Linked DNA regions of Notamacropus eugenii. The protein of the gene in region 1 interacts with the protein of each later gene in a pairwise test. Links are inferred from orthologs where the notes say so. Each region holds a gene or a part of one and is shown on either strand. Other genes may lie near its edges.

Evidence for each region.
Region 2: the proteins of BAG4 (region 1) and UNKL interact in binary tests that used the Homo sapiens proteins (3 or more experiments, as listed by UniProt). The link is inferred for Notamacropus eugenii from reciprocal best matches to the Homo sapiens genes BAG4 and UNKL.
Region 3: the proteins of BAG4 (region 1) and UDP-N-acetylglucosamine transferase subunit ALG13-like interact in binary tests that used the Homo sapiens proteins (3 or more experiments, as listed by UniProt). The link is inferred for Notamacropus eugenii from reciprocal best matches to the Homo sapiens genes BAG4 and ALG13.

The regions. Positions count from the first base shown.
Region 1 is NC_092872.1:622,807,337-622,817,659, reverse strand, and holds the start of BAG4 (BAG family molecular chaperone regulator 4), read left to right. Parts: upstream 1-6,278; 5' UTR 6,279-6,336; coding exon 6,337-6,642; intron 6,643-10,323. Other genes in the region: U6 snRNA-associated Sm-like protein LSm1, read right to left, coding at 1,093-1,161, 5,717-5,948. UniProt on the Homo sapiens protein: Inhibits the chaperone activity of HSP70/HSC70 by promoting substrate release. Prevents constitutive TNFRSF1A signaling. Negative regulator of PRKN translocation to damaged mitochondria.
Region 2 is NC_092872.1:49,431,087-49,440,906, reverse strand, and holds the start of UNKL (putative E3 ubiquitin-protein ligase UNKL), read right to left. Parts: upstream 3,865-9,820; 5' UTR 3,836-3,864; coding exon 3,753-3,835; intron 2,628-3,752; coding exon 2,418-2,627; intron 1-2,417. UniProt on the Homo sapiens protein: May participate in a protein complex showing an E3 ligase activity regulated by RAC1. Ubiquitination is directed towards itself and possibly other substrates, such as SMARCD2/BAF60b. Intrinsic E3 ligase activity has not been proven.
Region 3 is NC_092879.1:97,562,220-97,571,994, forward strand, and holds the start of UDP-N-acetylglucosamine transferase subunit ALG13-like, read right to left. Parts: upstream 4,442-9,775; 5' UTR 4,419-4,441; coding exon 4,278-4,418; intron 3,960-4,277; coding exon 3,876-3,959; intron 2,048-3,875; coding exon 1,997-2,047; intron 1,305-1,996; coding exon 1,258-1,304; intron 1-1,257. UniProt on the Homo sapiens protein: Catalytic subunit of the UDP-N-acetylglucosamine transferase complex that operates in the biosynthetic pathway of dolichol-linked oligosaccharides, the glycan precursors employed in protein asparagine (N)-glycosylation.

The DNA.
Region 1 (10,323 bases):
CAGCCCCTTCATCTTATATAAGGAAACTTTGGAAGAGAGAGGTGAAGCTCACGGTCAGTCACACAGGTAGCAGTGCCAATGTATGAACTGAAGTCATCTGACTTCAAATTCATCAGTCTTTCCAAGCTTCTCTTCTCCCTCATGTCCATCTTCCCCTTCCCCTGCTAAATTCCTAACCTAACCTCTGACAGCCCTAATCAAAGGCGGCCTCTTCCAAAATACTTTCTTTACTTCCCTGGTAGATAATAATCTTCCTCTTCAGGTCTTCTCTAGCAGCTTGTTTTTTTAAACCTTCTGATGCACTTAAGTGATTGTGTGTCATAGCCATCTGTGCATCTCATCCCCTTTCTGGCTGGGAACTCCACGGAGGCCAGGAATTTATCTAAATTTTACCTTCCTAACACAAACATAGTAATCTATACAGAGCTTGATAAATTCTTATTGTCTGAAAAAAAAAAGTTTCCTAAACAGAATACTTTGTAATAACATTCCAGACATCAAACTCTATGAACTCTATTGAGTGCTTATTGTTGCAGTTCTGTAGTAGAAATTTAATAAATGATACGTACACATACACGGTATCCTAAGTACAAATGTGGGGTCCCTGAACAAAAATTCTTCAAATAGCCCTCAACCCTTGCTGTTGTGAAACAAAGACCTACATCAGTGAGTAACTTCTTCCAGTGCAGCTGCTGCTTGGGTAGTTATTATAACAGTTATCTACATGCTAATGAATAGCCTTAACTTTGGTGTAGAGCTTTCCACTGGTATTTAGCTCCACCTAATGGGGAAAGAAAAACCCAGAACTTGGTGAAAATGAATTTTGATAATCCAGCTTGTGTGTCTCCATATATAGAGACAGATACATACAGTTTTTTTTAAAACCTAGGCACATTTAAAGAAGAACAATGCACAAACTGCTGACTTAAAACAATGTTTCAGTTAGGGGAGAGCAAAGAATATAAGAATATTTATAAATATTTATAAAATAAAAAGTAACTCATAAAAAGGAAATAGTGGAAAGGGTTGAAAAACACAATCAAGGAGAAAAACTATGGGAAATTTAAGTTCAAGATCCTGACTAATACATACCAAATTGATCAATGCTTCGCAAATAGCCTATAAGGGTCCTACCATCTCGAAGGAGCACCAAGTGTTTCTCTGAAAAAGAGGATTTTTAAAAATGATGACCAATAGTTCCACAGTAGTGGTACAATAGCACATAAGTTGGGGAAAGTTCTTCGGACACCCTAAGCAAGCTCTAAAATGGGCCACTTCCTCACTTTTTCAAGGTTAAGTTCAACTAAGAAATCCAGTCAGGATGTAAGCATTATAAACTATCAATAGTATCAAAGCAAAATAATTTAGTAGGAAAAATGCCATATTGGCAGTCAGGGGATTTAGGATCTAGTTTTGGCTCTCCTACAAACTTACAGTGTCCTTACGAAAATCAATTAACTTCTCTGTGCCTCAAGCTTTTTTATTTATAAAAGAAGGGTGCTGAACTGAGTAACTCAAAAGTCCTTTCAATTCTAAAATGCTTTTCTATTCCTCACTCAAAATGCTTATTGTAACAATTCAGAACCTCTTTCTATAAAAATATGTCCTTCAAGAGCTATGAGGAAGGAGAAAGGTTTCAGCTAATCATTGATCATTAAAATTTTTCTTAATGGTTTTTTCTTACATTACCTTCACTTCCCATTATATAATCTCTGGTCTTTGTAAATATGTGACAGTAAAAGGGGAAAAGAGGCAGGTAGGTGGCTCAATGGATAGAACACTGGGCCTGGAGTCAGGAAGACCTGAGTTCAAAGCCCTCCTCTGACACTTAACAGCTATGTGACCCTGGGTGAGTCTATTTGCCTTAAAACACTGGAGAAAGAAATGGCAAATCACTCCAGTATCTTTGCCAGAAAATCCTATGGACAGTACTGTATGTACTATGTATGGTCCATGAGGTCATGAAGATTTGGATACGAATGAACAACAACAAAAAAGGGTGAAATTGGTATCTTAACATCATGGCTAAAGGTTGAATTTCACAATGATGGGGTTTCAGTTTCCTCATCTGTAAAATGAGGTGGTTTCACTACATGATTTCTAAATGTGCTTTCTACACATTTACATTATCATTCCAAAATGTGTATTTTTTTTTTTAAAATGGCCCTTGGGCAACATAAAATAGTGAACTTTAAGGTTGGTTAATGACATACCATCTGAAATACATAAACTCTGACAGCAGCTACGCCTGTTTAGAATTAAGTCTAATTACAGACAGGTAATGAGAACAACTCTGATTAAAAAGTGAAAGTGAAAGTGAAAGTAAAGCATAAGGAGAAATGACACTATAATTAGCCTGACTTAGAAAAACACTGTATTAAGCAAAAACAAGGACAAAAAAGAGAACTCAATAGTTAATGATGAAACCATTTTAAAACAACAGAAAAGGAAGGCTTAATTGTGAAGCAGGCATTAGAAGTGATTCAGGGTCTATAAAGCCTTTAAAAAGCAACAATGTAGGCATGTGGAAAAAAAAAAACTATCCTCCATTGTACCTGAAACCATTTATCAGTTTCAGAAAATTATGACATTTAACATTTTATTTTTATATATGAATTATATCCATGCTCTCATTTGATCTCATTCTAAGGTTGTTCAGTCAAATGAGTTCAAGTTTTATTAACCCTATGTGATAGATAAGGGAGAGCTGACTTTCAGTTCTTTCAGGTGATTTGCCTAAGGTCACATACATAACCAAGTACTGCTTCCAAATCCAGCGTCTTTTCTAGCACACCAAGCTATCTTAACTTTTTTTAAAGGTTTCCTGCACTTCTTTTGAAAAACTCATTAAGGATTAGCTATTATTAAACCCTACCAGAATTTTTTCAAGCAACTAGCCTCAAATGCAATGGAAGATGGTTTCCTTATTCCTACCCTCTGTTGTATGTTTTTAATGCAGTTTTCAAATTTTCTTCCTATTATCAAACCTAATTTCACTGGACTCTCTTCTCTGGGCCTAGTGTACTAACTCCATTTGGGGGTAGCTTACAATCTAAAGTGCCTATTTGCTCAATCCAATGGTTTTTCCTCAAGTTTACTACTTGACCTCTGTCACCATGGACCACAAGGTGGTCCTGGACACTCTCTCCTCCGCTAGTTTTCTTCTGGTCTCTGTGCTCTTGGTCTTCTTTGCTGGCTTTCCCTTTGTCGACCAAATGTGGACATCCTTCAGAGTTCTGCCCTTGACCATGTTCCTTCTATCTCAAAGCAAATATGTCCAAAACAGAACGATGTACACACATACACAGAATGTGTGTGTAGGTGTATATATGTATACATATATACACACAAAAGGGGGGCAGTGGGCAGCACTAGAAGCTGCAGGCAATCAAGAAAAGCTTCGTGGATGCACTTGAACAGAGCTGTGGAGGCTAGGGATTTTGAGGGAGTGCATTCTAGGCACAGGGAACAAGCAAAGAGGCAGGAAATGGACTGTAGCATATGAGAAAAGGTCAGTAGGTCAGTCTGGCTAGAACACGCTGCACATGATGGAGGTAACATTTATTAAGTCTGGAAAGAAAAGATGGAGCCAAATTGTGAAGAACTGAAAAGGCAGTCAGAAGCAATACTGAGCCACTGAAACTTCTTGAGCAGTGGACTAACAGAGTAAGATCTGTATTTTAGGAATATCAGTCTGGCAGCTATGTGGAGGATGGAGAGATCAGAGATAAAAGACTAATTAGATGGCTATAGTCTAGATGAAAGGTGATGTGAGCCTGAATCAGGGTGGTAATTGTGAGAGATGAGACAGAAGTAGAATTGATAAAGACTTGAAAATGAGGGAAAGTTAGGAGTTGAGGATGATTCAGTGGTTGAAAATTTAGGTCATGGGAAGGATAGTGGTGTCCTTGATAGAAATGGGAAGACAAGATAATGAGTTCAATTTTGGACATATTGAATTTGAGATGCCTAAGGGATATCCAGTTGGAAATGTCTAAGAGACAGCTGGTGATGCAGGATCGGAGCTCAAAAGAAAAACTAGGGATGTATATATAGATCTGTGAGACATCTGCATAGAGAACTGAATCCACTGAAAAGCTGATGAGAATACTAAAAGTCTATCTAGAGGGTCCAGGATATATTCTATCAGAGGGCAGGATATGGATGGTGATACAGCAAAACAGACAAAGTTGACAGGCAGGTAGGAGAACAAATAGAGAGCAGTGTCATGAAAACCAAAAGGAGGGAATGGTATGTCAAAAAGGATCAGGACTAGATTTGGCAATTAAGAGATCACTGGTATCTTTGTAGAGGACAGAATCGAAGGAGTAATGAGGTAGGAAGCTAAACTGCAAAGGGGTTAAAAAGTGAGGAAAAAAGGAGGCAAATAGCACAGACGGTTTTTTCCAGGAATTTGTCAGTGAAAGAGAAAATATGTATGTATAAAATAATAGTGTGAAGGGATTCTACCTCTATTTCTCTCATTTTACACAGCCACTACTTTGTGCAGACAGACTATCTGGATAGCCTAATTGGCCCAATTTGTTCTTTTTCCAATTATCCTCCAATATAGCTGCCAAATTGATATGCCAGAAGCATAGCTCTGAACATATTACACTCCACCCCTCAACAAAACATTTGAATGCCTCCCTAATGGCCTTTAGCATAAAATACAGACTCCTCAACTTGACATTTAAGGACCCCCATGATCTGGTTTTTAAGACATTTCCCGATACACTATTTTTTTTTCACGGACTCTATTCCATTCAAACTGGTCCTAAAGCTGTTTCTCTTACACAACATACTCCCTCCTGCCACTGTGCCTTTATATAAGAGATCACATAGTTCAAGTACCACCTCCTATTCCAGACCTTTCCTCCTCCTTCTCCCTCTTGAAATTGCTTTGCTGTCTCTAGGGTCTATTTGGGCTAAGATAAAATCTGGCACGTATACTTTATACTTAGGTGTATACACATCTCCTTGGTAGAATATGAACTCCAAAAGGGGTGTGTGTGTTTTTTTTATTTTGGTCTTCGTGTCCTCGGACCCTTGAACAGTGGCACTTAAATGTCTGCTGAATTGGGGTGGAGGGGTCGGGCAGGAAGATAACAAGTCTCTGCCACAGCTTCGAGAACGGTGGGCCTCACTTTCCTTGAACACTATCGGACGCCCTGTTTCAGGCACTTACTGCGTCCCCTCACTGTTGCACCCAATTTCTTGAGCTCTGGGACCACTCGCCTCCCCGCTGCCGGGCACGCACCTCGCTATTTCTTTTTATCAGCGAGGCCAACCTTTCCCCCGGACAGATCGTAATCCCATCCTCCAGGGGTTTAGTAAAGGGTCTTCCAGAGTTGCCATGGCCTAAAGACTTCCCCACCTGGGCCAAGCTTCTGGGGACAAAAGCCTCGCAAATCGCAGGCACTTAATGAATTTGTGGGGAGTACTCAGGTCGAAAAGCGGTGTCGGAGTCTCTGAATGACCTCCATTGCCTTCTTCAGACAAAAGGGCAAAAAAGAAACCCCGCGTGACTCCGGAACGCCTAACTCCCCCCCAGGCGATCTGCGGTCAGAGGGAGGCCTCGGCCGCTCGCGGACCGCAGCCCGAGGGCCGGGGCTACGGCCTGGAGACGCGTCCCGGCCTCGGCCCATGCCCTACCCGAGCCCGAGGGAGGAGGCGGACCGACGAGGGAAGGGGGACTGGCCCGGCGGCCACTCACTGTCAATGTCCTCGATGAGGCTGGCGGTACCGGGCATATAGTTCATCTTGAACCGGGAGGGGGAGGCTGGGCTGGGGCACGGTGGGGAGAGGAGGAGCGGAGCGGACCCGCCGCGTCCTACTTCTCCCTCCGCTTCAGCCTCCTCAGCGGGGCCGGTACCCGCAGGTCCACAGCCGCCAGCAGTCACTGAGGAGCTACCGGAAGTTCCCCCTACCCCGCCCACTTCCGGCATCACGTGGCTCCCATGCTCGGGGGCGGGTCGTACGGCGCAGGCCCCCGAGAAAGGAGAAGGGGGAGAGATGTGAGCGGGACCGCATTAGATAGTGGGGAACTCGTTTTTCCTCTTTAGGCTGAGGAAGAACGTGCGCCTTGCCCTTCTCAGTTCTCTAACTTCAATTCCTAAGGTTGGCCCGAACTAGCATAGACCCCCCCCCCCCCCTTCAGCCTCATTGGTCAGCGTGTGGACCATGAACGCTACTCCCGCGGAGGAGGAGCCAGGGCGGCGATTGGTTGCTTTGGCTCCGCCCCCTTTTCCCAGGCTTGTTCTTTGCCTTCAGCGGGCGCCTGCGCAGTGGGCTTGGGGTGGGGGGAGCGGGAAGTGCGGCGGCTTAGCGGAGCCAATGTCTACCCTGAGGAGATCAGGATATGGCCCCAGCGACGGCCCGGGCTACAGCCGCTACTACGGGGCTGGGCCCGGACCCGGACCCAGCATTGGAGACGTGCCCCCGCCTGGGCCTCCAGCCTCATCGCGGCCCGAGCCGCCTCCCCCTCCGCCTCCTGGCCCCTGGAGGATGCGCGGAGGCGGCCCGGCGGAGGCTGTGTGGCCCGGGGAAGGCAGCGGAGCCTGCGGAGCCTGCGGAGGTGGCGGGGGCTACTACCCCGGGGGAGCCGCCTGGCCAGACCCGTGCCGGGCCGGAGGCCACCAGGTAATCCCCGATCCGGCCAGCCCCTGGGGTCACTGGAGTCGTCCGTGCGCGGGGGGAGGGGGTTGATGTGGAGGGGGTCGCCGGGGGTGGTTGGTCCCTAGGGAGATGAGGCCCCGGGGGTCGCGTTGCAGAGGCCCGGGACGCCGGGGTGAGACCCTGTTGGAGGGCTTCTAACGGATCCCAGCTTCGTTAGTCTCCTATTTCTGGAGCATGGGAGGAGGGACAAGGTTTGTGGCCTGGGTGATGGTGTCTCACCGAGCAGCGATTGGGGGTAAAGCAAGCTGAAAAAGAAATCGTAAATCGTTTATTGCAGCCTTCCGCTCTGCACAAATGCCCAGGTTAACTGAGCTCGCCCAGGGGAGGCCTCCAAAGCCATTGGGAAGGGGGTCTGGAATGGACCCTAGGTTGCTCCCCCCCCCAGGCACAGGCCCTTTCCACCCTCTCCCCTCACCGCTCCCCCGAAGACGGTGACGACTGTGATGCCTTCACTCGGCGGCCCCTCCTGCACGTTGGGACCTTAGGTGCTGCGAGCCGGGTCGTTCCGGAGGCTATCAGCTTTTTTTCATTTTTACTCCCCACCTGCTCCTAAGCTCAGAGCGTGTCGTGATCTGCAAGTGCGTGTCTCTTCTGAGGGTCATCACTGCAGCATCTCTAGTCTCTTCCATTCGTCTGCCTGTCAGTCTGCTTCACCACCTCCGCGTTGGACGTTTCATTTAAGCCCTTCTGTCTCTTAGGTAGATAAAGGTCCTACATATTTGTTCGCTGCGTCTAGGAATAGTCTAACGTGGGGGGGAGGGGGGAGGGCGGGGTGGAAAAAGCTTTGATTGTTTAGAAGATTGATCTCTTACATCCCTGATCTCATCCATCGAGGTTGTGTGTGTGTATTCATTGGGGTTAGAGGATGGTCAGAGAACTTGGTCTTGACTTACTCTTTCAAGGTAGGATTTAGGAATTGGAAAATTATGTTCTTGGGAACTAGTTCAGTTTGATGGCTAGTGCTTTGCATGTAGGAGGTGGCCTATTAAATTCTTGTTAAATGATTGCTTAGGTTGTGAAAAAGTGGGAGATAAGGGGACATATTCGAATAATAGTAGGCCTGGAGGAACCATCCTTATTACACAGCATTTTGACTGATTGAGTCACCCATGAATTCTTCAGACTTGATGTGACCAGCAGGTGGAACCTCTATCTAGGCTTTGGATTTTATGTCTGTACTCCTTAGAGCTGGGCTACAATCAGTGTCACTTAAGGGAGGGTGGAGAATTCTACCATCTTTCACCAAGTCAACTCTTTTGTTTCTTTAATAGATAACTTTTTATTTCAACATGGCTATAATTTCATTGATTTGGGACTCCCCGTATTGGTACAAGTGGCATCACATATCCATGCTTTCTTATCCAGTGCAGTTCTTTTCCATTTAATTCCTGCTAGAGGATCCATCCAACTTGCTGGAAACCTTCAAGGTTTCCATTACATTTTTTGTATAGTAGCTGAATGGTAGGTAAAGCTGTAATTCTTTCATCTAGCCACATGACCGGTCCACTTCCTTTTCTCAGTATACATTTCTTCAGTAATATCCCTTATGCCACTTCTTGAACACAGTTTTCATCATTGAAAATATGCATGAATACAACCCAAGAAACTGACCTGTCCAAAAGATTAACAATTGGCACAAAACTTCTATATAGGTATTTGTTGTTGATAATCAAACAGGTTTGAGGACTAGAAGAAGAGATATTTAATTGACCATTGCTCCCAATGGGAGTGAACATTCTATTATGGATTTCTTTCCACATAGATTGGTTTTGTTTTTAAACTTACTGACTGAAACTGGCAGCAATGTAAAAATATTTAAAATATAATATTGTTGACTGAACATTAGAGGTAAAAATCAATAGATAAATGAAAAAGCATTTATTTTTTCCCAAATTTATGAATTTATTTGTCTTCAGTTTTCAACAATCACTTCCATAAGTTCCAGATTTTCTCCTCTCCCTCTCCAAGACAGCATGCAATTTTGTATGGGTTCTACACATAGATTCCTATTAAACACATTTTCACACTAGTCATGTTGCATAGAAGAGTTAAAACGAATGGGAGAAACCATGGGAGAAACAAAACAGAACAAAACGTAACAAAGTCTGCTTCATTCGACATTCCTACTCCATTATTCTTTCTCTGGACATTTTGCATTTTGGATGGCATTTTGCATCATGAGTGCGTTGGAAATGTTTTAGGTCCTTGAATTGCTGTGAAGGGCTAAGTCTATCAAAAACAAAAACAGTCCTTGCACTCTGTGGCTGTTACTGTGTATAATATTATCCTGGTTCTGCTCATTTCACTCAGCATCAGTTCATATTAGTCTTTCCAGGTTTTTCTGAAGTCTGCCTGTTCATCATTTCTTAAAGCACAATAATATTCTATTACATTCATATACCACAACTTGTTCAGCCATTCCCCAATTGATGGGCATTTCCTCCATTTCCAGTTTTTGGGCACCACAAAAAGAACTGCTATAAATATTTTTGTAAATATGGGTCTTTTCCCCATTTTTATGTTCTCTTTGGGATACAGACCTAGTAGTGGTATTGCTGGATCAAACAAAGGGTATGCACATTTCACAGCTCTTTGGGCATAATTCCAAATTCCTCTCTAGAGTGGTTGGATCAGCTCACAGCTCCACCAACAATGAATTAGTGTTCCAACTCTCTCACATTTTCTCCAGAATTTGTCATTTTCCTGTTTTGTCATGTTAGCCAATCTGAGTGGTGTGATTTGGTACCTCAGAGTTGCTTTGATTTGTATCTCTCTAATCAATAGTGATTTAGAGTATTGAAAAAGCACTTAATAAATGCCAATTATATACCAGATAATCACCTATGAGATACTGAGGATATAAAGACAAAAATGAAACTGTTCTTGTCCTCACTGTGCTTATTGTGTTCTAGGAGAAACTAGGGGCACATACACGTGTGTGTGTGTGTAGAAAATATATATGAAGTAAATTCAGTGTAGCTGCAGAGGGATAGGAGAGGAGGTACTAGCAGTGGGAGAGCAGGAAAGAAGATGGAGGATGCAGGCTATGGTTTTTGAACTGGGCTTCTAAGAGGGAAAAAGAAGTAGAGAGTGCGTTCCAGGTGTGGGAGGTTGCTTGTTCCAAGGCAAAGAAGCAGAAAGAAATGTGTCACTTGTGAGGAACAATAAGGAAAAGCTAGTTTAGCTGGACTCAAGAAGGTTCAAAGGTGAGTAATATGTTGTAACTCTGGAAAGGCAGTCAGGGGAACCAACATTTTATTAGCGCCAGTTAAACTTCTTGAGCATTTGGGTAAGGGGGGGAGACCTGGGCTTTAGGAATATCATTCTAGCAACTACCTGGAAGATGGCAGGATATTAGTTAGGAAGCTCTTACAGTAGTGCAGGTGAGAGAGGTGACAAGGCTTGAACTAGTGTGATGGCCTCATAGAGAGAAAGGGGCAGATAGTGCCTAGACTATTGATTAAACCTAGCAATTGATTTCATATGTCTAGTGAGGGTGAATGAAAAGTTAAGCATAACAACATGGTTGGGAACCTGGGTGATTAGGATGGTGGTACACTTGATTGGAATAGTTGTGGAAGAAAAGATATTAATAGTGTACTCTGTTTTAGGCACAGATCTGCAACAGTCAGTTTTTATTAATTT
Region 2 (9,820 bases), about 570 Mb from region 1:
GATCACATGAAAACTCCACAGTGACCACTATAAAAGAGTAGAGAACTTGAAATATGATATTCCAGAGGAGAAAAGATATACAGGCTTACAACCAAGAATAACTTATCCAGCAAAACTGAGCATAATTCTAATGGAAAAAAAATAGACCTTCAAAGAGAGGACTTTTAAGTATTCCTAAAAGATCAGGGTTACATAGTAATTTTGAAGTGTAAACAGAGGAATCAAGAGAAACAACAACAAAAAATAAACATAATGGTAGGTGACTACCAATAAGGGACTAAATAAGAATAAACTTTGTATCCTAATATAAGGAAAAGATATTCATGTCCCCTGAAAATCCTATCATCATCAGAGGTCACAGAGAGCACCTGATTAGAGAGCCTAGGAATGGTTCTGTTCTATTCCGATGATCTTAAAAGCATGGGAAGGCTAAGGAAGAGGAATACATTGGTGGAGAGGATAGAAGAGACAGGAATAATATGGGAAATTACCTCACATAATTGAGGTGTGCAAACAGAAGTTCACACAAACAAGGTGAAGGGGAGCAGGAGACACAAACCTCAGTCTCATCTGAATTGGTCAAAGAAAGAAAACTGAGTAAAGAAAAAAATTTCACTCAAGAGGAAAAATAGGAAGGAAAAGGGAGAAGGAAAAGAGAAAATAAAAGGGAAAATAAGAGAAAAGATAAAGGGACAGAATTTAATCATAAGAAAAACAAAATAGAAGAGTGGATTTCAAAGAGGGGCTTAAAAGAATGGGGGAAAAAAGACAAGAACCTGTTATTAGACTACAAGTAAAAGAAAGAGGAGCAGAGAAACAGAAGCATATTACACCAAAACTAGAGCACGGATGTAGAGCTTACTCCTTGTCGCTCATCACTCTCTTCTTCTTCATAAAAAGAGAACAGGAACCAAAGAGAAGGAAAAGTATAAGAGAATAGAATGAAGTGAAAAACAAAATTAAAAATCATAACACTGAATGGGATGAATTTACCCATGAAAGAGAAAAAGAAAACGGATTAGAAAGCAAAATCCAACAACATGTTATTTACAAGAAACAAACTTGAAACAGAAAAATTCAGAGTTAAAATAAAGGGCTGAAGCAAAATAGATTATGCTTCACCTACCATTAAAAAAAAAGGAGGGATATTTTAACTATGATCTCTGACAAAGCAACAGTTTAAAAAATAAAAAGACGTAATTAAAAAAAATAAAAGGGAAACTACATTTTGCTGAAACATTCCATAGACAATGAATATCAGTACTAAACATAAGCACCAAATGGAACAGTATTAAATAGTTAAGGGAAAAGTTAAATGAGTTACAGGGAGAAATAGACAGGAAAACTATCATTGCAGAATACCTCCTTACCCCTCTCAGATGTAGATAAATTTAACCAAAAAATAAACAAAAAGGAACTGAAGGACCAGAATAGAATTTTAGAAAAATTAGATTATGACAGACCTCCAGATATTACTGAAAGGAAATAGAAAGGATTTCTCAGCTGTGCATGCCTCTTTTACAAAAGTTAACTACATATTCAGGCATAAAATCTCAAGAACAAATTCAGAAAAGCTGAAATATCAAATGCATCTTTTACAAATGATATTATTATTTTCAATAAAGGGTCACAGAAGAAATGATTAAAATTTTTTTTAAAATAGTAACACATAGGGTTTATCCTTACTACACTAACAACAGTAGCTCACGATTTTTTTTGGGTTATCAGTCCCCTTCCTTGCAGAAGCAAGGGAGTATAGTATATTTCCCCTTCACAGGTTGCACGTTTCAGAAAGCATACCAAGAGTACTTATTGTCAAAACAATACAGAAGAACTATGACTTGGTTAAATACAAGTTATTTTTTTTCATAAGATCATTTGTTTTCAATTCATTCTCTGAAAGTCAATGGCATTAATGGTCACTTCCACTCCAATTCAGTTATTTTTTGCAGTAAACTTTTTGTGGGTGAGCAGTTTTCAGTTTTGTTTTCTATTTTTAAAATTCATGTCAACTAGTACTTTACTACTCACAAAAGGATCACTTCATAACACTTTTGAAAAGATAGTTTTAATTTCATTACTACTGACAGGGAGAGGAAACAATTCTTTTAAATTGCAACATACGCCAACCTATTATCAACTGCATAAGCAATATGAGTAATAACAGAGTGACAAAGAAGGGAATTCTCGGTGTACTTTTAAAACCTTAAAAATGCAGAATCTTTTGTACACTAGGTAAATACTTTCTGGTATGTCATTCATTTTAGTTAAAATAAAATCTTTAAAGCTTCTTTCTTCACCTTCCAAGGTGATGACTAAGAACTGTCTTCGTCCAGGTAAGATGCAAACTATTATTAAAATCACTTTGATAATCACCATAACTTACTAAAAGTACAAAAAGAAAGTTATACACTTACTCATCACCATCCGGACAAATTCCTGTAGTCTCATCATATTTTGTACAATATACATCAGGACTATAATTAAAAGTTCCATCACGCCTTCGGATGGGTCTACGGCGACGCTGATTTAGGAAATGCCAATGAAAACAGGTAAATGGTCTGTGTTGTGTACACTTGTGCTGCAAAAACAGGGGGCACTGTTCTGTCCTAAATTCCTTTAGATACCTAAAAAGATAAATGGTATTACAAGTCGTTTCAGCTGGAGGGAAGTACTATACATTTGATGCAGTGTTTGCTCGGTAAGTTCTCTTTGTCAGTGTAAAAACTGTGTGTGTAACAATGTAACTTTATTAGGGCCAAACAACTTAATGTTAATTGGTTAATGGGTTGTTTTTTTTTAATGACCACCGCCAAACTTAGAAAGGGAATCTCTATGTAAAACAGACCTATGAGCCATCTATCTTCAATTACACAGCAATGGATGGAGGGGAAAAGGGACTCCCCAGCATAGGTCTGCATTCAATGAAGAGGGTTGGGGGGAAGCACACCCCCTCCCATCTATCCACACCCGAGTCTTTCAGAATGTACTTAATTCAGCCACCAAGTCAGCTCCTAAACTATCCCGAAGGCAGATTTAGCGAAATTTTGCGTAACACCAAGGTTGTTTCAGCACTTTTTAAATGAAGAAGGAAAGAGGGGGTGTGTGAGGGGTGTGGGTGAAGGCAAAGGTTGGCACTTTAGCCCTGGCATCTGGGGCTCCCGGAGGAAGGGGACAGGGAAATAGGATGGCACCCACGAAAAGGAAAGCGGGCAGGCAGGGTGGGAGGGAAGACCTCGGAGCCCCAGGGCGCGGGAAGGAGACGAGCTGGACCGCACGGGCCCAGGTGGGCAGGGGAAAGGCCGGGAGGCCGCGTAAGGGCCACTAAGCAGGAAGTTCAGCGTATCCGGCGGGGAGTGGGCGGCCCGGCTCGGCCCGGAGGCTCAGGCGTCCAGCGGGCTGAGAGGCCTGGGGGAGGGGCGGGCTGGGAGGCGGCTCCGCGGGCGGGGGGAGGGGCGGGCGGGGAGGACGGAGGCGGCGGCGGGTGCTCGGAGGCCGCGGGAGCGCTCCAGCCGCCCCGCCCCGCGCCGCGCCGCCGCCTCGGGCTCAGAGTCGTGCAGCCCCGCGCCCGCGAGGCCGAGACGCGAGGAGGACCGGGAGCTGGGGAGAGGAGGGTGGGGGAACGCGGGCGCGCGGGCCGAAGCGCTCAGCGGCGGGGGCGCGCGAGGCCGCTTCCCGCCTGCCGTGGTGGAGGCGGCTGCGGCTACGACGGCGACAACCCCGGGCGGTAGGGGGCGGCACGGGACACTGACCTGTAATGAGTCGGTTTCTCCGTCTGGGGGGGGGATCCGCTCAGCGCCGCCGCCGCCGCCGCCGCTTTCGAAACCGACGGCATTTTCAGTCAAAACAATGCAGCGCGCATGCGCTGGTCGGACCCGCCCCCGCCCCCTCCGGATCTCCCCCCACCTCCCCTACCCCCACAGCCTTCGCCAAGCCCACCGGGCCCCCCACCCCCTCCCGCCCACCCACGCGCCCGCCTGCCCGCTCGGAGACTGGACCCCGCCCCCGTCCTGGAAGGCTCGCCGGCCCCCTCCCGCGCAGGAGGCCACGCCCCCTCTTGGAACGGCCACACCCAGCGGCCACACCCACTACCTTGAGGCCCCCCACGTCGCCCAGCCCAACTGCCCGCAGAGACCACGCCCCCGCCGTGAATGACACCGCCCAAAGGCCCGGGGCCGGGAGGCTGAGATCGGAGGCCACGCCCCCCTGGGCGGCCCAAATCTGGACCTGCGCCCGGGGGCCGAAACCCCCACCTGAGTGAGCATCTCTGCCGGTGCCAGGCTGCCCGCCCCGCGCTGGTGTCCGGCCGCCGTACGCGAGGGACCCCCAGCTCCCGGCTGTCAACCCCGCCCCCACCAGAGCGCGTGAGAACGCCAGCAAGCGAAGCAGACGGACCCATCAGTGAGAAAGAAGCCTAAGGCTCGGCTTAGTAACTCACAGACACGCAGTAACCACAGCCCTATCACACACAATTGGTGCTCTGCCTTCCCCCGAAAACTCGTTGACCCATCCTCTCAAGTCAGTGGGTGAACATTTATTAAATACTTACTGAAGATGACGAGAAAGCAAAAGCACGGAGAAGAAGCACCAACTGTGTATAAGCGTTGTCTTTCACATGAAAACTGTCCCATCCCACTCACAAGCCTACAAGTACCCCTTTCCCATCAGAGTGCTTTATAGTAGGGAAGGGAATTGACAAATATATAGAGACTTTAGCCCACTACTGGGCTAAGCCTTTTTAAAAATATGATCCCATTTGATCCTCAACAACCCTTGGAGTTATTGCTACTATTTTAGTTAAGGAAACTGAGGTTAAGTGATTTACCCAAAGTCAAACAGCTAGCTAGATGTATCCATTGCAACATTCGCTGTCATTTAGATACCTTGTAGCCTCTCCTAACACTTTGTACCTCTTTGATTCAACATTGAAAAGGCATTTATTAATTGTCACATGCAAGACACTAAACCTGGTGGTAGGGTCACAAAAACAGATAAAAAAAGAGTCCCTGCCCTCAGCAAGTATGCATACTCTTGTAACGGATGCAAGAGATAAGCAGATAAGAAACTGACATTTAAAAAAAAGAATTCTAAAACTAGCTGGAACAAGAAAGGCCTTCTAGAAGGTATTGCTGGAGCGGAGGCTTGAAAGAAGATGAGAATTCTAAGTCAATTCAAGAAGGAAGTGTTTTCCAGGCAAGGAAGAAGGGGTATGACTTGGGAGAACAGCAAAAGGGCCAATTTAGCTGAAGCAGAGAGCATCTGAAATGGAGTAACACGACACAAGTCTGGGAAGGTAGGCTGAAGCCATCCTGGGAAAAGTTTTAGATGCCAAGCTGAGTTTGTATTTTACCATAAAAGACAACAAGAAGTCACTGAAAATTCTGGGGCAGGGAAAGCACATTGGTGAAATCTATATATTACAGAAATAATTTTGGCAGCTACCTAGAGTAAGGGTTGGAGAAGAGAGAGACTGTTAAGACTGAGAGACATTTAAGAGACTGTTCTACTCATCAAAGTGACAAGGGCCCAAATGAGTGTAATGGCCATGAATTTGAAGAGGACAGATAGGACACATCTTATAGAGGTAGAAGTAGCAATATATATCAACTGATTAGCTACAAAACCAAGAGAAGAATCAAGCATACTTCAGAGATGTCAACCTGGGATGGTAAGAATGGAAGCACCCCCAAGAGTGGTGTGAGGGAGGAGATATTAGAGGAATGTAGGAAATGGGTTCAGTTTTAAACATGGTAATTTTAAGATCAAGAAAAGACATCCAGATGGAGATGCTCAGCAAGAAATAGGTCATGTGGGACTAGAGTTGAGAAAAGATTTAGGCTGGATATATAGTGGAAATCATTTGAATAAATCTAAGAATTGATCCCAAGGGTGCTGATGAGATCACCAAGATAAAGAATAGAGAAAGGGAAGAGGTCTAAGTCTATGACTTCTGGCACAGCCATGGTTAGGAGGCAGGAGGCACATACTGATCCAGCATCCACCAGAAAGGCAGCATGGACTAGTGGATAAATGCACTGGAGTCAGAAGACCTGAATTCAAATCCTCTTCAGCCTATATTTCTACAATCAAGTAAAAGAGACTAGGAAGGGAGCAATCAGAGAAGTAAAACCAGGGAAGAGCAGTGTTGTGAAAGAAGAGAGAGAAGAGCCTATCAGGAAGAGGAACTAGCCAACAATGTCAGAAACAGGAAGTCAAGAGGGATGACAACTGAGAAAAAACCAATAGACTTAGCAATTAAAAAATCATTAGTGCAAGGGCTGGTGGTACAACCTGTAATCCCAGCTACCACAGAAGCCAAGACTGGTGGATCTCTTGAGCTCAGGAGTGGATTAAATCCATCAGTTGTCTACATTAAGTTTGGCATTAATACGGTAAGTCTACTTGGAGCCAGGAGCCATGTGGTTGTTTAAGGACAGATGAACCCATCAGAGCTGAAAACAGCAGTCCCTGCATTTTCAGCCTGGTTCAGGGAGACTGAAATAAAGTACTAGAGTTTGGGGATAAAGAAAAGGAGTTTTGAGTCCATTAGAAAGAACTCACAGTGGATAGCCTTTACTCAGTAAAGTAGGAAGAAAAGTCTTCTCAGCTCTGGAGGGTCGGTTGGAGGCAGAGGTGTCATGAGTCTTGAAGAGAAAAGCCATAGGGGGAATGCTAGACACAGTTCCATTTCTCACAGTGATCCTCCAATCAATCCCTCTCGGTACAGGGTGCACCCAGCCAATCCTCATTTTAGTTACCTTGAGATCAGGAGCTGAAGCTGAAAGAGATCCTATTTAGCCAATGCTCAACCAGTTTTGGAAGTTGCAGAGTAGTTCTTATCCTCTACTTGAGAAACTTCAAGGGCTCCCTATTGCTTACAAAAGACATATCTCAAACTGCTTATCTCAGCATTCAAGGCTCTCAATAGGCTAGCCTCAATCTACCCTTTCAGTTTTACCTCCCATTCTTTGACTACATAGGATTGTCTCCCAGTGGTATTGATAGTCACACTTTCTAATTTCATGAGCTAGTATGGAGTAAAGGAAAAAGTCCTCGTTCCGGAATCAGAGGAATTGAATTAAAATCCGACCTCAAATGCTTACTACCTGTGTGACCTTGGGTGAATTATTTAAATTCTCTGGGCTTTAGTTTCCTCCAGTATAAAACTAGGAGGGAGGGGAATGACTTCTGAGGGCCCTTCCTGTTCTGAATCTATGGTAGTAGAAGAAATGATAGCCTTTGAGTCAAAAAGATACGGGTCCCAACTCTGCCTCTGACACGTCAGACCAGAGGGAGTTACTTAATTACTTTTGTTAACTCTCATTTTCCTCATCTGTAAAATGGTAATAAGGATGTTTGTATTATGTACTTTACAAGGCTTTTTAAATGCCAGTGCACCAACCCCTCCAAAACAGTGCCCCACCCATGGCCTCTCTAACATTCATCCAAAGCCTGTCCCTATTCACACACACAGTCAATGATATTCCCTTCATACATGCCTGCAGTTCCCGTCCTACTCACTCACACATCAGATACAGGGTCCAGACATTTCATGCACATAAACAAAGTACTCATGAGCCCCTCACACACTGACCACAAGCTATTCTCGCTCACAGACACACAGAACTCCTGATTCCTTCACATAATACCTGGCCATACAGACATAGAACTCCTGTCCCATCACAAACACAATGCCCCACTCCCGATCCCCATAGACAGGTATGGGGGTTTCTAAGAACCATCCAGGTAGGAGTTCTTTTGTGAGATGAAACTTTGCAAGAAGTTGGGGAGCAGTCAGGGCTAGTTTTGCAGGCAAGTGTGCTCGCACATAGTGAGTTTCTTGCTTTGCACTTGTATGTCTAGCACATAATATAGTACCTGGTACATGCAGTAGGTGCTTAATAATTACATGTTGATTGATTGGTCTCACTAGAGTGAGATTGTAATAAACTCAGTTGCCAGCGGACTTGTTTTGATGTGACCAGCAGAAGGATGTTCAAAAACCTACGTTTCCAAACTATTTTCTTCCAATGTTTCCCGAGGAAATTTCTGTGAATTCCCAACCTTCCTTCCCCTAGTCCTGTTTCCTTCCTGTGCTCTGGGAAGCTATCATGGTCAGTAGAAGGATAAGAACTGATCAAAGTGGTTTCTTTATAGTATTGCTGTTTGGAAACAGCCTTCAAAAATAGTCTAAGTCCTATGAATGAAATGGGAGGTTTCCCTAATGAGTGTTCAAGTACCATAGTAGCTGAGACTTTCCTATTTTAGTCATTGTTCAGCACATTCCTGGTCATACACTAGAGCCAGGTGCTCTGCCCACAAGTGGGAAATAGCTAGGAATGGTGAGTGGGTTGGGGGAGTAGTTGAAGAGTTTACAAGCTATCAACTTCTATTGAACAGCGGGATCCTGCAACCTTTGGAAAAGCTTATGCATGGTCAACTGGCCTGTCATAGCCATTTGATCCAAAGATAGCAATAGCTGGTGTCCAAGGCACAAAATTACATTCCCTAGCTGACCAGTTATTTCATTAAAAGTCTGCTTCTTCATAGGGGGAATGATCCAGGTGTCAATATCAGAGGTAGGATATTTAAACCCAGTTCTCCAGTTGTGCTGTAATTATACTTTCTCAAATAAAACAATCTGTAGCCTGTTCATAAACAAGTGGTCCATCCTCTCATATCACCATAATGACCCATCATCTCCAAAACCTGAATACCCACCTTCTCCTCTCTCACACAGTGCCACAGTCCTTTTCACATAAAGTGCTCCATTTTTAACTACACACAGAAACCTTACCTTCTCTCACAAATATAAAAAGGTGTGTTCATGGAATTCATGGTCCTATAATGCCTAGAGATGAAAATTTCACTTTAGAAAATATTCTTGCATTCCATTTACTAAAAGGCTGAGAGTCCACATCATGACAGCATTCCCCAACAAGCATCCTGACTGGAGGATAGATAGTTCGAGGAAGTTTTTAAAGGTATCCATCTCATGGAAGTGGCAAAAGTAAAGTGCCAGTACAGACTCACAGCAGAGAGATAGATAAGAAATGGCAGCTAAATATTTGAAAATATGCCTAAAAAGACACTAAACTGTACATACTCTTTGATCCAGCAATACTACTATCAGACATCATCTCAAAGACAAAAAGAATTCATATGCCTGTGGAATCCTAGTTACATGGGCTCCTTACCTGAATAGTGCTGCTATGGAGACCAGGAACTCAAGCAGATATTGTCCCAGGTCTCACTACTTGGTGACATTTGTTGGAATCTGGATTTCTGGGATTTTGATTTAGAGGCGTCTAGGAGTGAGAGGCCAGAAACTGGAATGAGCAGCCATTACTGTTACCCACCATTCAAGAGGCAGCAAGAATCATCTCTGCCTTTTCTTCTATCAGACAAGCTTTGGTCAGTTAATGGAAATCAAAATCTCCGTGCCCATCTCCTCCCCAGCCCACCATGGTGCATGGCATGAGGAGATTGTACACTGAGCAGATCAAACTTTGCATTTCCCCTCACTCACCTCTTAAAGAGGTATTAGTTCAAAATTATAATAGTCATTAAATTGGTGTGGTGATTTCTTCTCCCTTTGCAGGATCGCTGAAACAAGAAGTCGATTTAGCCTTGGCAGGTGACAGATTAGCCACTGGTCTCTTATAGTCCAAATGAACTGTTCTCCCTCCACTGCTTACTGTCTCTTTATTGCTATCATTTTATTTCCCCCACTTTGCATGAAAAAAATTTAGAGGGCTCCTAATTCCTTGTCTGATGCATGCTGGCACAGGTAGAGATTTAGGCAGAGGTATGGATTGAG
Region 3 (9,775 bases), on another chromosome or scaffold:
CCAAAGCTTAATCACAGACTCAAAGGGGACACCCTCCCCCCAGTACACCCTTGCCCATCTGCTCCCAAAACCTGATGATAGATCCTGGCAAGATTCCTTTAAAAGCCCCAAGTCTCTCCCCTCTGACAGCAGGGAGCTTGCCTTGGTGGGACATTCACGAAAGTCATCTCACTTCCCCAAGGTCAAAGTTCTTCTAGGCTTGGGGTTGGCATTTCTGTGAGCTAGGCAGGCTTTCATCTAAAGAACACCAGCCATCCCAGACCCAAGGCAGGTGTAAGAACTCAGGTCAATCACACTGTGTGACTATCTCTGGCCCAACACACCTTCATATAGTTACAGTCTGGCTAAAATGAATGTGATGATTGGCAAAGACCACCTCCAAAGGGAAAAAGCAGTAATTAAAAAAAGTCCTGGGAACGGGGTGGGGGGGAGTGTGCTCCACAAAGGAGTCTTGGAGCCTTTTGGAGAAAAATATTATCTTCTAAATAAGCCAGATTCTTTTATCACAGGATTTAGAGCTAAAAGAGACCATAGATATTTTCCAGCCCTCCTCCCTATTTTAATAAAGAAACTGAGGCCCACAGAGGCAGAGTGACTTACCCAAGGTCACACAGCTAAGGAGGATGGGTCTCTCTCTCTCTCCCCACCCCCACCCCAAACAAGGTGGGTGAGGTCTAGAAGGGTAGAGGCCTAGCACAGTGCAAGGTCCCCAGTGAATGCTGTCCAAATATGTGCTGGCTTATATGGGTGAAGCAGCCAAGCCAGGATCTCACTCCCCCCTCCCAGGCGATGCCAGGAGCTTGGGAGAAGAAGGGAGGAGCCCAAAGCATGAGTCTGGGCACCAGGCCAGAGGAGGGGGCTGTAACTGGACCTGTCTTGACCAATGCATAAGAACTATAAATCGTGAGACTGGCATGCCCTTCAACAAGAGACATCCTACACCCCTCTTGTCCCAGGCCAAAAAAGACCCATGACCCAATAGACTGGAAAATGTACATTCTGTGGTTAAAAAAAAAACCATCACAAGGATACAAGTGTTAGAGGGTCAGGCACTAAGATAGCCCTAGAACCTTCTGGCTCCCCGAAAAAGATGCATTTCCCTGTCCTAAAGGGTTAACATGAGAAGCCAAGTCTATCCCACCACCTTTAAATGACAACTATAATCCATGAGGAGACTCCAGAGGTCACTTCAAGGTAACTGGAGTGCCCTGGGTCCCATGTTCTAGAAATCAGAAAGGAGAGGATGCAGAAACTTACTTGTAAATGAGAGAAAGGGCTCTTAACTCCAGCTGGCCAGCACTTTCCTAGGGAGAAACAGTATATACAGCCTTTGTTTGGTTTTCTTTCTGAGCACTTTGGAGCTAAAAGCCCCCCAGTCAACTACTGTGAGTTCCTTGATGTAGCCCTCCATCCCCATTTTGCTCATTGAGAATGTACTATAAAGCCCAGTTTAGGGCTCCAAGTCTGGAGCTGGGTCCTAGGATCCAAGATTTTAGAGGAGAGAGAAGCCTTAGAAGTTACCCATTTAGTAATCCAATCTTCCGTTTTCCAGAGACCCAGAAAGGGGAAGGGGTAAGTCCTCTGGCCATTAACATTTTCCAGTTATGAGGAAGTTATGACAAAGGGCCGAAACCCCTCTTTTCAATTATCAGTTCAAGTTGGATATATTCAAAATAGATGTTTTTTTAAAAAAGCTATTCTGAATTCCATACACTAAGGGATTTAGTGACTTTTATATTAATAAATTCTCAAAACTGGACAATTGAATTAGGTCAGCTGTCAACTTCTTAAAATTTTTCCAAGAAATACATTTGATTCCAACAGCTGTTTGTTTTTTTTTTTTTAAAAGCCTCTACATATTTCCTTAAAGGGCCAGAGCTGCAATGCGTGGGCTCTGGCAACATCCTCCCAAATGCTGCCTTACCCTCCTTGCCCACTCTCCAACCCTTCAAGGGCCCCTGAATAGCAAAGCTGAGAGAACTACATTTGGGCTTACCTTGGGATCTCCCAACCTCTCCAGGTACTTTTCAAAAGATCCTTCCACGTACTTGGAAAATAAAACAAACTTGACTGTAAGCAGCTCCATGGCACTCATTACTAGGACTGAGTATCACACCATGCAAACCCTAAGCAAGAGTTAATGCTTTCTGCATTTAAACTCCTAGCATGTATTCACTTTGCTCAGCCCCACAATCCTGAAGCTAATAAGGTGATTACACTTGGCACAGCACCTCCTGGAGTACTAAGAAAAAAGTTAAGGAGGTGGGGGAGAGGGGGAGGGAAGTCAGCAGCAACAAGTCCTAAGAAGCTTAAGGGCTAGCTGCCTCAGTTGCTTAGATGGAAGCCACTTCACAATTCTCCAAAGGCCTGCCTTTTTTATTGGTAGCCTCCAAAATGCCAATTTCTCAAATGATGGCCAATCAGCACATTTCAAGGAACCTCCACTAGAGCTGGAAAACCTACAGGATGCTTGGCCTCATTAATGAGGTTAAGGGACAACTTTAGGGTGTGAAGTTTCCAACAAAATCAGACCGTACAAGGAAGACTTTTAGTCTGACTTGTGCCATAGGACCAGGTTTGAGAGAGCTAGAAGAGACCTGGGAGCTCCTCTCATTCCCCCACTTCTTGTTTTACAGGTGAAGAAACTGAGGCCTACAGAGTGACTTGCCCAAAGTCACACAACACAGCTAATGAGTGGTGGACCCCGGCTGAACCTTGAAAATGTATGAACTGCCCTTTCTAACCAGAAGGTCTGGGTAGTTACACTAATGGTTTGGGTTTTCATTAGCTTCAGCAGTGTTGTTTGGTTTGGGCAAGATGGAACTCTGTAAAATGTCCCAGTTGGCTTTACATTCAAACCAATCTGACTGAGAAAGTTTCAAGAGTCTGGCCACCTCCCTGTTTTAAGGAACCAGGGAAGAGGTATGGATCCTTAATGACCAAACCTAGGCAGGTCTCTGTTTTGGGGCTGTTGAAGATCTTTTTGGCTGTGTCATTAAAAGATAAGTAAGGGCTTGGGCTAAGATTTGGCCCCTCCTTGCATCTCTTTTTGGAGGTTCCTCACAACTGTAAAATCTGCACAGTGTTGTATTGTATCCCATGCACAGAAGGGCTGTCTGCTTCACCTTTTACCTCTGCCTGAAGGAGGCATGATGGATACAAGCCCTGCTGAATGTGCTCAGAATTTTCAACAGCCAACAAACATTGGCAGGGCCCCTTTGCAAAGGATTTTTCTGCTAATCTATAGAAGCCATGTGGGGTGTGAAATAGACGGGTAAAGCCATTGAAATAGAGCCATCACCAAACGCCCTTCTATCAGGATATAGATCAGAAGTGGGCTGACTTAGGACTTGGCTTGCTTGGGGTTTTTTCCTAGTCAATACGTTAGGGGAGTGGGGCCAGTTCCACTGGTTTATTATGTACAAGGCCAGATGTTTGAAACTAATTGTGCATCCTTACAAGTAAGCATTGAGTTATCTTCATACAGATGTTCCTAAGAGCCATGAAAACCTCAGTTGGCTCAAGAAAGTGGGTCCTGAGCGCTGCCCCACCACCGGCCAGCTAACAAGGTACTTCCCATTCCTGTCTTTCACGGCCTTTCTCACCTCAAGCCACAACCTCACCATCAGTCTAGATGGCTAACTGTGGGGATCTTTGCTTTGGCTTCCTAATTTGAGCTGAAGGCAGAGGGTGGATTTGGCTGGGGAACCATGATTTTTAACCGCGGAGAACTAGGGCTAGCCCCGAGATCCGCATAAAGCCTTGGAAAGTCGAGCCACGTGGAGGGGCGGCTTGAAGGAAAGCAGCAGGACTTTCGGCAGACCCCACCCCAGGGCAGTGTCCCCCACACCTCCCCTCCAGTCTGTCCCACTTACAGATTCAAAGCTATGTTGGTTTTCTCTCATGAAGGCCACGCAAGCCCTCCTGACTTCCAAATGGTGGACCTGGCTACAAAACAGCTGAAGGAGAGGAGATCACCTTCGAAGTCGGGCTCCCCGTGGCTGACGCCCCGTGGTCAGCACCCCATGGCTAACCATGCGGACGCGGGGAGGAGTGGGGGGGTCGGGGCAGGCTGCCTCGGGGGGCTCACCGTGCCACCCCCCCCACCATGGGGCCCCGGGGTGGGCAGCCGCAGGGAAGCTCACTAGACCCCCCCCCCACCCCACGACGGGGGCCCACTGCGCCCCCCACCCCACGATTGGGGCTCACCGTGCCACCCCCCACCTCACGATGGGCGCTCACTGTACCTCCCCACGGGGGCCCAGGCCTCGGCGTACCTGCTCCGAGATGGCCCGGAACAGGCAGGAGGCATCCTTGGGCATGAGCTTGCGGTGGAGCCCCAGGCTGCTCAGGTAGTCGTCCATCCTCACCTCGGGCTGCGGCTTGGGGGCCGGGGGCTTCTTCCAGCCCTTCTGCATGGCGGCGGGGGGCGGCGGGGGGAGGCGGGGAGGCGGCGGGGGGTGGGGGGGCGGGGGCGGGGGCCTCGGGGGAGAGGCACCCAAGCGCGCACCTCGAGCAGGGGCCCCACCGGACTGGGAGACTTGAGAACTGGGAGGAGGGAGGAGCCGCGGCGCGCCGGCCGGGGGCGGGGCCGGGCGCGGGCGGGGCCGCGGGGCCGCCGCGGCGCCAGGGGGCACCGGCAGGGGGGGGCGAGGAGCGGGGTGCCAGCCGGGGGCCTTCCCCTCGCCCTCCAGGGCCTGGAGCCAGGGGCACTCAGGAGCTGCCCTCCCCGCCTGGGGATCCCCCGGAGAGCCGCTCGGCCCGCCCCTCGTGGGCCGCAGGGGGAGGCGGCTGCCCCCAATTGCGGGGCACTTTCACCTGAAGGGCCCCGCGGAGGCTGCGCCCGCAGAGGCTACGACCGAGCCCCACGTGCCGCGGGGGCGGCCCACGTGCGCTGGGAAGGCCGGCGATGGGGTGCGGCTCGGGGTGACCCACCATCCCCCCGTTCACCCCGGGTCCAGGCTGGGCAGAAAGCCCCGCCTCGCCTCCCCTCCCCGACGCCGCGACCCCAGGATGAATAACAAGCTGACATTTACACCCTCGGGGTGGGAAACCCTCCGTGGGAAAAGGGGGGCTATTATTGGCCTCATTTGACAGATAAAGGAACGGAGACTGGGACAGGTGAAACGCCTGCAGGTGCCTCTACTACTCTTTTCTCTCGCTGTCTCTGTCTCTCCCAGACAAGGCAAGAAGTCCCTAGGTGAGAGACACTGGCTTTTGGTTCACCACGTTGATCTGTGACAGGGATCCATACTTGGCATCTGGCATCTGCTGGGAACCCTTCATTTTTCAGAGCGAGAGCGAGAGAGAGCGAGAGAGAGCGAGAGAGAGCGAGGGAGAGAGGGAGAGAGGGAGAGAGGGAGAGAGAGAGAGAGAGAGCGCGAGAGAGAGAGAGAGACAGAGAGAGAGCGAGAGAGAGAGAGAGAAACACCATTTCATTTAGACACAGGACCTCAGTTCACATCCCAGGTGCTGAGTAATTAACTGAGTAATCTACAACTCTCTTAATCTCTCTGGGCCTCAGTTTCCTCATCTGCAGGATGAAGGGGCTGGAGTGAAAGACCCTGAAGGTAGGTCCTTTCTACCTTGAAATGCACAGTTCTTTGAGATAATAACAACTGCCAGCATTTTTACAACATTTGAAGGTGCAAAGCACTTACAAATGTGAGCTCGTTTAATCTTCAAAATGACTGTGTGACATGGGTGCTGTCATTATCTCCAGTTTACAGATGGGGAAACTGAGGCAAACATAAGTGAAGTGACTTGCCCAGGGTCACACAGCTGGTAAGTATATGGGGCAGAATTCAAACTCAGACATCCTGATTCCAGGCTAAGAACCACACCTACTCACTTTCTTCCAACAATTTGACAGGATGAGGAAGTTGAGGCACACAAAAGAAGCAAGCAATAGAGGCAGGTTGTGTGACCCCGAAGCCAGTGTTCTTTTCACTCCCCAAAGGATGATTTAGTTCAAGGGTTCTTAATCAAGGGTCCAGGAACTGAGATGGTGGGAAATGACATTTTCATTTTCACTGTCCGCTAATTGAAACTTGGTATTTCCCTCAATTATGTCAAAAACATTCTTCTGAGAAGGGGGTCCATAAGGTTTACTACACCCATAATGCAAAAACGTGAAAAACCCTTGATTTAGTCCTTTTCTTACAGAAAAGGAAACTGAGGCATGGAACTGAACCAGTTGGTCACAGTGTCCCACAGACAGTTAACACAAACCACAAACATGCCCTCATTCTACACCCTAGACTGGAAGAACGGTAGAAGAACATTTCAGAAGGCTGCTTTGGGGATACTGAGTCATCCAGGTTGGCTAGCTTCCTGTGGCCAGAAACCTGAGAAAAGGCTGAGGACTCCAGCCTTGATCTCATTAGGCAAAGGGCAGCTATTGTTACTGAGCACAACTCTCACTGCTCTCTTCCTTCACCTCCTATAGGCCCCATCCTGAAGAGAAGTCAGAGGAAGAAGCAGCAGCAGACATCTCCTTGGACCTGGTGTCTGACAGCCACCCCACCAATGACACTTGGACGCTCTTTGCCCTGGACTGGGGTTGATGCTGCTGCAATGGGGGGGGGGAAGACAGGGGGCAACAGCACGCTAGCTCTGGTTTTAGAAGGATGATTTGTACTGTACTGTACTGTTCATACTGAACCAGGAGATATAAACTGAAGATTTTAAGGCCCCAAACATTTTTTCCTCCTTATTTCACATTTAATTTATTGTGAAAGAACGAAAATAAATCTGGTGAGACATGTTAAAACAGGGATCCCTTTTAGGAACGGCCTGACTAGTTGGCTGCTGAAGTCCCTGCCAACTGAGCCTTCAAAATACAGTATTTTGATCAATGAAAAAATATCCTTTCATGGAGAAGTTCACCCCAATCTTAGGTAGGATTTTAGCACGTTATTCTTGCTAACTAGGCACTAAACTATGTCATTCCTGGGCTACCAAATGACTAGAAGTGCTGTCAGCACCTGCTAAATTTGCTACCCTTGGCAAAAGTCCCAGTTGCCCTGTCCTGGTTACAGTTCTGGACAGACCTAAATACTAACCTACCATGAAGAGGGCCCACAGGTTTGTCTCACTTTCTACTTATAAGGCACACAGTAGGCACTTAATAAATGTTTGCTTGCTTACTAGTGTCCCTGGCAAGCACAAGATCTATGAAAATGGCTACATAAACTCTGGGGTGTCCTAGTGGTCACTGGCATAGTAAAAATAAATGTTCCACGGAGAAAGCAAGCTTAAATTCAGACCTAGTTAGCAACTAAGCTAACTGAGTCACTGCCATTAGAGGCCATAATTCAAGCCAACCCTCGTGGCTTTTATGAAGTGTCTCCTCCTACTCCTGTGCCAGGGTCTGTGGATATGAAGGCAAAAAAAATGAAGCAGGTATACCTGCTACATTTTTCCTTGTGACATTGAGAACATTAGGAAGTCATTTTGAACTAAGACCTGAGACGTTAGTGTTAATTACCAGAGCTGTAACAAAGGTGGGCAATATGAGCATGTCCTAGGGTGCTGATGTCTGAGAGGCCTATTTCCTTTGTACAAGACAGATCCTCCAGAGTTTTGCCACCATGACATCCCTCTCCCAACCCAACTGCATCTGACAGCAAGTTCCTCCCATGAAAGCCAGTCATGTACTCTATCGGGGGCAGGCTACCAAGATGGTGCCACTTTGCAAGGGGCCTTTCTCTGTTCCTGCCCCTCTACCAACCTCTGAAGCAGCAATGCTCCAGGATATCTGGACCCTCAAATTGAATCTCTAACATGAAGGTCTTTCTCCACAACTCCAAAGGAGTTGTGTTCTCAACAATGTAGTTATTCCCTCCAGTGATGTAAGTCACAGCCAGCCCATCTGGCACAACTCTCATCCAAGTCCTCACCTAAGTTCGGTACAGGTGGGGGGAGGGGGGGAGGAGGAGGTGGAATTTCCTCAGGCACTCATTGGGACTCACAGGCTGGCCATCAATTACCTCTCCCTCTGAAAAATCTAGACATGAATCTTGGTTGGGGCTTGTCTCAATTCCCTGTCCATAGTTCCTGATTCTAAGGTTGCATATCTTTCTGTCTGGACCTTTCTATCAACTTCTTAATGCTTGGGGTAGGGGAGGGAAGAATCAGGTGGGTTCTGGAAAAGTCTCCAAAGGAAGACCCAGGCTCCCCTTCTTTGCCCTGACCTCCACATGTCCCACACTGGGAAAAATGACAAAGAAGAGGAAGGCAACTACCTAGGAAGGAAGCAGGATATTTCTCCCTACAAAGCAGTGCCACTGACCTGTTTACAAATGGGCAGCTACAGAATGTGGTCAGTCTTAAAGACATTGGGGCAGGCTCCATTCCAGAGAGAGCTCCCATACCAGTCTGCCACTGTGAACAACTTCAAGGAAGGATGTTACATACTAGAGAAAACCACAAGAAGTATCTCCGTTAACAGCAGGGGTGAAGCAGGGTAATCTATTGTCCCCACTCCTTTTTAACATCATTTTAGAAATCTTAGGAATAGTCATCAGGCATGAAAAAAGTCAAGGGAATAAGTATCAGCAACGATACAGTTAAAATATTTGTCTTTGCTGACAAAGTATGTCATTGTAACCCTGGACAAACCACGACAATCAACCACAAAATTCACGGACTTCATAATGATTTCAGCAAAGGAGGAGCCCACAAACAATTTCTGCATTTTCATTTACCGCTACTACAAATCAAGAAATAATGGATGACAACAGTTCTCATTCCAATAGCCCTTCAGGGTCTGCTCATCTCATTTGATCCTGTGCCAGAAGTGCTATTATGACTTCTATTTTACAGGTGAAGAAACTAAGGTTCAGAAGAACTTGCCAAAGGTCACACAACTGGTGAGTTGTCTGAGGTGACACTGGACTTCAAATTCCGCACTCTTTCCAGTATAACATGCTTTTTCTCTTAAGAAACAGACAGTAAAAATACTCTTTAACACAACAGCAAAGTCCATCACATGCTTAGTCATTAACTTTCAGTTAAGAGACATGAGAACTATCCCAAAAAGCCCTGGAGGTCTTTCATTTAACGCCTTAGGGAAAGAGCATTCCCAATTGCAGGCCTAGTGGGTAAATGGGGAAAAGAGAAGAAGCCAACATGAACTTTGGTGGGGTTGTGCTTCTCTTTGCTGGTTTCCAAGTGACAGCCTCTAGGGCCTACTCCCTAAAACTGGAGCCAGAAGAGAAAGTTCTACATGGATGGTCTCCTTGCTCCGCAGTATCTGGTACAATTGCTTTGATGTCTTACAAAAGCCCTGCAGGAGAAAACAGTTGAGCAGAACTTTGAGTCTGTAGTTGGGGTAAATGATCTGGCAGGTCTCCCATCTATGAGATTCAGGTGGTGGAGCAGAGGAGACAGGGGAAGCATTGGGCCCATTTAGGATTCACCTTGGTTTCTCATCTTTTACTTTTGTCAAGAAGAGTCAGGAGGACTTGGGGTCAAGTTACCTGCTTTTAACACTAGCTGTGTGACACTGGGCAGGTGGAAAGTCAGATGACCTGTGTTCAAATTCCACATCTGGCACAAGGTAGGTGACCTTGAGCAGGTTACCCAACCTTATCTGGACCCCATGTTCCTCTTCTCTAAAATGAAAGGTGTGGGATAATATAGAAGAACAATTTCAAAAAGCTTTGTTGGTACTTTGCTCAATGCAGTGATGAATCACAAGTCCAGAGGACTGAAGATGTTGCCCACCTCCCACCAGAGAGGGGATGGGCTGGAAAAACACAGAATGGGACTG